Linked DNA regions of Caenorhabditis elegans. The protein of the gene in region 2 interacts with the protein of the main gene of each other region in a biochemical or structural test. Each region holds a gene or a part of one and is shown on either strand. Other genes may lie near its edges.

Region 1 (3,930 bases), on a different chromosome or scaffold from region 2:
AACATGTTTTCCCATGATGTCAGTTTCAGAATTTTCTTGTGTCGATTAGAACTTGGGTCAGATTTTGGTAAGAGTTGGGTCAAACTTGGATGGAGCCTAAACCAAGCATTTCCAACGTTTTGCTCAAGATTTAAACAGTTTACAGTTCCCTTTTGCAAATATGGAAGTGAGATTATTTTCAAGCAAAAACTAACTTCATAATAAAAACAGCTTCTGAAGGACTATACCAACTTCCGACGGCCTTTTTCCCTTTACCCATTGCAGCAATTCCAACCATCTTATGAATTCCCAATGGAGCCGTTGGCTTGTCTTCAAATAATTTCAGAATCATCCACTCTTGAATTTTCTCTCTATCGAAATCATCTTCATCTCCATGAGCGGCGACATGAGATCTTTTCCTTCTTGTAAATCTCCAATCTCTTCCAAATCGATTCACCATAATCGCCTGTGCAACCATCATTTGTGTTGTTCGAATCATACATCCCCATCCACAATCTGTTGTCGTCTGAAATATATTATATTTTATTACAGTACACTGAGTGCGTCTCTTACATCAGTATCAAGAAGTGCTGGAAAATCTGTCCTATAGGTGATCCAAAGTCTCGAGTAGTAATCAGAACAAAAGTTCTCGAACCCCGAGCGAAGACCACTTTCTGCAAAAATTTGCTTTCCCATATTTCACTTTCTATGGCCGAATACTCTGACTTGTTGATTACAAATTGAAGAACAAACAAAAAAGGGCTCAACGAAGGTGGTTTTGGGAAAATAAAAAAGTTGGGATCGTGAACCCCAAGTTTGCCGGGCACAGTAATTAAGGATATTTTTAAAACTTTTTAGCCAATATAATTTTTAAAAACATGGATTATTTTGTGCAAAAAATTCAACAAAAATTGTGAACACTTTTCCTAATCTATCAAATTGTGTATTATATAAAATTAACACAAAGTTGTTTCATTTTGATGAGATTTCCCCCCATTAAAAAGTTCGCTCTACACCAGTTGAAAACTTACCATCTACACTAGTTGAATATCTTCTTCCCAAGAAAACAACATCATTTTCACCTCCATATTCATCACTTCGATCTGACATCCATGTACCTAAAATCCTCAATTAATAGAAAATTGCTACTGTATATACGCACTTGAATATTTGATATTGTTCCATGTTGACCATAATCTCGCTTTCCACTTTTTCTTCGAATGTTTCTCAATTTCTCCTGTTGAATGTACGTCTTGGCTTGAACTTGACGGTCGTATACTTCCCATCATTGACGCGCCGGCTCTTAAAAAAAACATTTTTGATTGTTATGGATCACAACATCTATAACTTGGTACATTTTTACCGTAACTCTAATACATAGTAAGTTCTGTAGACAACAAAATAATGTAACGTTATAAATATCCGACAACTGTGAATAAGAAGAACAAAATGTATGAACAGAGCGTGTGATAACTAATCAATCAAATGAATTGCTGACAGTACATAACTGTTTGAACATTGCCTACATAGATTTATTTTATAGTTTCCAAATAGGCACAAAAAAGCTAAAATGCATTGATAAATAGCTTGAAAGGCAATCTATGCCTACCTAGTCGCAAAAAAAAACTGCCAGTCGCAAAAAAAAACTACCAGTCGCGAAAAAAACTACCGCGGACCTTACTGGAAAATAGGACAGTTTGTAGGAATTCTATCATAGTACGTACTTTTGTGCGCGCCTAAATAGAACCAAAACTTACCAAAATATTTGATGATGATTAATTTTTAAAACTTATACGAGCATAATTGTTAGACTATGAGAAATGATCCTGTTAAACTTTTTAACTAGGAACATTCCAGCTAAATAAAGCATAAAATTTCTAGAAACTCACGATTTAATTTTGCTCATCCATGAAAGATTGCCACCCGGAACAAGGCTTGCAGGTGCAGATTGAACTACATCCTGGCCCAATACAACCATTCTTTCTGTATCCGGAGTTAACGCTTCTTCCGGGGCTCCGTGCTTCAAAACATGCTCAATTTCGTGTCCATCATCATCTGATAATGAGGATTCTGAGCTACAGTATTTTCTTGGTAATCGACTGGAACTTGCAATCTTTTTAAAATCGTCTGGTATATTATTCATTTTAACGCTTCATATGTAGTCTGGAACTTACAATTGATAGTAGAATTGGTAAGTAACAAGAAAGTAATATTAAAAGTATGAAAAACTGTACGCTATACAGTTGAGATAATGGTAATTTAAACTTTAAACAATTAAAAGTATTTATTTTTTAAAAATTTCAGAGAAGTATAAGTTCCGTCCGATGATCCTTGCATGTTTCTTCTTCGAAGCTTTTGAATCCGGCCACCTCAAATATTCCAATTTTCAGAAATTCTTGAAGACCTGACAATGGGCACAGTCCATATTCAAAACTTTTACAGAACTTCACAGTAGACGTTATGTCGACTCCATTGTGGAGCACGCGGAGCAATCTCGTTTTGCTGGGGGTTTCATAGACCTCAAAAACGACCCGAGCCGCAAGCAATTGCCAATCATTGTAGATGGCAGAGTCCGTGATAATTCGGAGAATCGACCCAATAATTGTGTCATGAGACGAGAAAAGTTGAACTTCTTTTTCGTTGCCTTCAGCCATCAAACCGAGAGCTCTCAGAATTGGATATGAATTCAGGACACGGTATTGTCTATCAACTCCAAGATTCAAATTGAACATTTTCGCACTTTGTTTGTTGAAATATTCAAGAACCTGAAGAATTTTTTTTGCAATTCTTAAAATTAAATTAGGTTTGCATTATGGTGTATTTCAATTCCCAAAAATATGTAAATTAAATTAACCAAGTTCTACTTTCAAGCTATGAGTTACAAAATTCATTGACTAGTTTTTCCAGTTGAACCTTCGAAAAGAGTTTGCAAACGTTATCCATGTCTGGGTCTGACCCAAAATTAATTAAGGCTCCCGCTCTTTTTCAAAAGTCACACAAACCATGGTCAACTTACATCTCCAAAATACATGAACGAGGTACAAAACTGATCATTACATGGAAGTTCCTTCCGTTGACACACATATCCTGCTACAAGGTTATCAATGACATCCAAAGGATCAATGTGTACAGAAGAATAGTTAATTGCATCAAACATTTTCTTTGCAACGTCTAGAATTCTTCTATCGGCTTCCAATTGAAACAATCCCTGACTCTCTGCTTTCATCGTTTGTAGTAGTGTCTTGATGACATTGTCACAGTTACATTCAGCATCTGTACACCCGTAGTATACAGATGAGTTTGTTAATTGAATCGGTGTTGCGAAGTTAGTTTGATTTTGATCCAACAGACCACTGACAAGAGCTATTCCAGAAGCAAATGTTCTTTGAAATTTCGAAAATGTTAATTTCAAATTCAAGGGAGTCTCCGAAGTATCTGAAAATAATAAATATTTTATAAATTTTTGAAGCTTTCTTAATAAAACTTACCAAATAATGGAGTATCCTTGTACAAACTGTATAAGAACCTTCCCAATGCAAATTCTTGAATCGCGCCTCGTGGAGACAAAAATGCTCTTTGGCATTTATTTCCTCCCGGAACAATTTGCAGGTTTTCAAAACCAGGTGGAATATTCAATCGACTTGTGATATTCTGACCACGAGAGACAGTCAAGTACTCCTCAAATTCTTTTGCTTCTTGTTCACTCAGTTCACTACATTTTCCACCAGTATACAATCCAAAACGATCTCCATGTCTGACAGCTGCTAAAATTGAAATCAATGTAGCGTTTGGATGATCAGTGCGTCCTTCGGATCCTTGTAAATCTCGATTCTCCACAAATTGGCAATGTTCAATGACCATCTTCTCATAATATGAATTGCGTAGTGTTAGCTCGTTAGGTCCCAGAAATCCTAAAACTGCGAATAGTGTCAATAGAAAATCTAGATCAAA
Region 2 (3,590 bases):
TGTTTTTAATTTTTCATGATCTCCTACAATTTTCCAAAAATGTATCGGTTTTTCCTTTAAAAATGTGGAATTTTAAGTGAAACTATTACAACAGATACAGGTGAAAATTGCGAAACACTTTTGGGTGCGGTAGCTGAAAAGTTTCCATCGTGCCGAGACCGGCTACCGTATTTTCGCATTGAAAATCTCAAACTTCTGCAAATGGGTAGTACCAAAATTGTGTCTCGAAAATGATAAAATATGCCAGAATCGAATCAAAAATGATTCCTAAGTCAACGTTTGAGCCCTCTTATGACATTTTCAGACGATGACAACTAGAATAAACTGTCATTTGACAGATGACTAATGGATACAAAGAGCCTTTTTGCCAAAAGTGTGTCACCATTTTCGAAATAAAATTCTCATTTTTCTCTATACTTTGTTCAGAAATCTACAATGATGTTTACGTAATACAAATGTGACGTCAATTCTATACAGATGAAAAAGTGATTTCGCAATGTGTATTGCTAACTGTTGGAGGTATTCCATTCGCTGGCCGAAAATAACGATGAGCATGAACATGAATTTGTTTGTGTCTTCTTCGTTTATTCATGAATCAAAAATTTGAAAGTAATAGCAAAAAAATATCAAAATCCGAGAGAAAACATGATTTTCTGGGAGGGGAGAAGAGCAACTTCGTAGACAATAGTTTGAATAGAAGTCACTACTCGGAACCGTCATACGAGAAAAATGAGAAGAAAATGTGAAGGAAATACAGAATTATTACAGAAAATGAGAAGATTTTTTTAAAGGGGCTTTGGGTTTCCATTAGAAGTATGAAATTTCCATTGTACAAGTATACACATTCGTCGGCGGATAATACATGACACTTTATTCCTTCTTTTCGACCTCTCCTCCATACACACTTTCGTCACTGTAGGCGATGTAAAGGAACAAGTCTTCCTCGTGATGGTCCTGTAATAAAGAAAAGGGTTAATTAAATGAAAATAAACGACTGGTTAGTTACCTGGTAGAGTTGTCCCATTGTGGTCATGGTTTGTGGAATGACATTGTTGACAAAGAAGAACAGAGCATCTTCTGGACGAAGTTGGATGCGTTTTCTGATGAGGAAGTAGAACTGTCCAACAGTAAGATCGGATGGGACCAAGTACTTCTTCTTATCCAAGTCATGGAGCTTTGACTTTGGTGCTTTCTCAACAATCACTGGAATACGGTCTGGGTACTTTCTGCGGATCTTGTCTCCTTCGGCACGACGCTTCTCAAAGTTGTTCTCCTCCTTGTAAGCCCACTTCATTTTGATTCGAAGGTTAGTGTGAAGAGAAGGTTACTGGAATAAAAATACTTTAAATCACAGAAAAATCATAAAAGAACCATGAGAGAAGAAAGGTGTAACAAGTGAGAGTGAATGAAGGTGACATCACATGGGTTTTGAGAGATTGACCGATTCGATAACACATTGCGAAATCTATATAAAATTGACGACGAGTACTAGTAAGGCAAAAAGAGCATGAGCAAGAATGGCCCGTGTGCAAGTGAGAGAGGGAGTGTGCGCGCACATCGGTCATATGAGAGCGCGTAGACGCAGGAGACATCCTATTGATTTTCTATGTTTGTCTGGCCTGGTTTTGTTGAGATGCAGAGAAACAGGACAAGTACAATGCAGCTGTTTAGAGGTTGTCGGGGAAACTGTAATTCTGGGAAGACTGAAAGTCGATCGATATATTAGTAACATTTATCCAATATTCACTAGTATCCATAACCAGTTTCTACGAATATTCTTAGCGCATTGTTCCAAAAAATTGAATTCTGAAAGACTTTAGTAATCAACTATTAACTAGATTAATATGACCGTTCAATAAATAATTTTGGTATGATTTAGCAATATTTTTAGATAGAATTGTTAAACCGTACATTTAATAGTCAAACTTGTGAAACATTTCTTAATTTCAAATTTCAAATCTAAAAAAGATTTTGATTTGAAACCGGTTTTTTAAACAAACCAACTAAAATTACAAACTTTTAAATAAAAAAGTACTGTCGCTACCGACGTCGCCAGAAAGTGAAAGAAATGGCAGAAAGTCGCAAAGAAGAGCGAGAGGCAAGACTGAACACACCAAGACGAATGGCACTAGCTAGAAAGAGAGAGAGATGAGAGAGGGGCGGAGACGACGAGACACCACGACTCAACATCATGTGACTGTGTCATACGGCGGCGAAACGAGACAGCAGGCAGAGGAGAGCAAGAGAGTATAGGGAAACATTGGATGGTTTGAGAGAAGTAGAGCAGCATGGTGTAGAATCATCGGGGTTTCAGGTGCCGATCGACAGATTGTTTGTTCTTAGATTCTTTTGATAGGAAATTTTAAACGTTAGAAATGATCAAAAGTGATAAAAGGTTAGAATAACAACTAGACAACAGTTGGTATTGAGTATGTTTTGCTATTAAAGGAACATAATATGCTAAAACTAAACGAAATAAACGATATATAACTACTATATCCATACAATAATATGTAGGTGGAAAGTGCATTAGCGACATAATTCTAAAATAAAGAGTTGGAGCAATGAGAGCATCATCCACATTCACAGCTGTCACCGTGACGTAGAATGTAATGAACTAGAAGAGGGCATTCAAGACCAGCTGGTAAAACGCTAGAACTGACAATATAAAACAAATCAATTAAAAGATCTTAAAGACATTAGGGTGCACTCCATGTAATCGATCAGAAAGGCAAAAATATAAAAAGGAACAAGATAAAAATTTGCCGGAAGCAAACCGAGAAAAAATATTAAAAAAATAACCAAACAATAAACCAAAGGTTAAAAATTTATAGACAGTCAATAGTGACGAAATGTTTTACACGGACAGAAGTACAATAATCAGAATAAAGCTATAAATATAAATAAATAAAAAATGATAGCTAACATGGAGAAACAATAAAAATATGAAAAACGCTTTTTTCTTTGAACCGTAAACAACGAAAATCTAAAAATTGCCGAATAAGTTCGCTTGTAGCCCAGGATGGAACATTTGGAAACTTGCTACTACGAAACATCGAAATGTCAGAAAAAATAAAAGTAAAAAAGTTGTAAAAAATTATGATATGCCTAGGAAAAAGTTTGAAAACTCGTCGATATCCGCCTTTTTAATTGATTTAACAGAGATCAAATGTCGATTTACTGTCGCCTTGAAAGTGCACCAGTTCGAGAGAGATCTGTAAAAATTAGTTATGAGACTTGATCTGCAATATGACAAACTTACAACTTGCTAGCTGTAACATATCATCAGGTTTGAACTTCGAAATGTCTGGAGCACTGAAATTGGAATATTACATATCCACGATAAAATCTTTTCAAACCCACCTTGAAGTGCTTGGCATTGGTTTGTTAATCCTGATAATGGCTTCTTGTGCTGCGCCGACAAGCATATTCATTGATTGTGTTAACGGCATATTGTACTTCGCGATCAATTCCTGAACATCGTCAACAAGCCCCTCAGGTAACTGGCTGGTTTTGGCCTTTTTCCAATGATCTTCTAATGGAAATTCGTACTTTCTCTTCCTGTCGGCACTACCATTTGCTACAGGTTT

What was found.
Region 1: of the proteins of lgg-1 (region 2) and atg-4.2, one has a biochemical effect on the other in vitro, tested with the Caenorhabditis elegans proteins (one study listed by BioGRID).

The regions. Positions count from the first base shown.
Region 1 is NC_003282.8:11,666,242-11,670,171, reverse strand, and holds the start of atg-4.2 (Cysteine protease atg-4.2), read right to left. Parts: upstream 2,149-3,930; 5' UTR 2,123-2,148; coding exon 1,869-2,122; intron 1,282-1,868; coding exon 1,142-1,281; intron 1,098-1,141; coding exon 1,011-1,097; intron 654-1,010; coding exon 553-653; intron 506-552; coding exon 195-505; intron 1-194. Other genes in the region: ZK809.9 (2-phosphoxylose phosphatase 1), read right to left, coding at 2,280-2,744, 2,996-3,414, 3,468-3,896. UniProt on the Caenorhabditis elegans protein: Cysteine protease required for autophagy. Cleaves the C-terminal amino acid of ATG8 family proteins lgg-1, to reveal a C-terminal glycine.
Region 2 is NC_003280.10:6,346,393-6,349,982, forward strand, and holds lgg-1 (Protein lgg-1), read right to left. Parts: upstream 1,328-3,590; 5' UTR 1,295-1,327; coding exon 1,007-1,294; intron 955-1,006; coding exon 871-954; 3' UTR 568-870; downstream 1-567. Other genes in the region: putative RING finger protein C32D5.10, read right to left, coding at 3,178-3,215, 3,263-3,315, 3,364-3,590. UniProt on the Caenorhabditis elegans protein: Ubiquitin-like modifier involved in the formation of autophagosomal vacuoles (autophagosomes). When lipidated mediates tethering between adjacent membranes and stimulates membrane fusion during autophagy. Recruits lipidated-lgg-2 to maturing autophagosomes.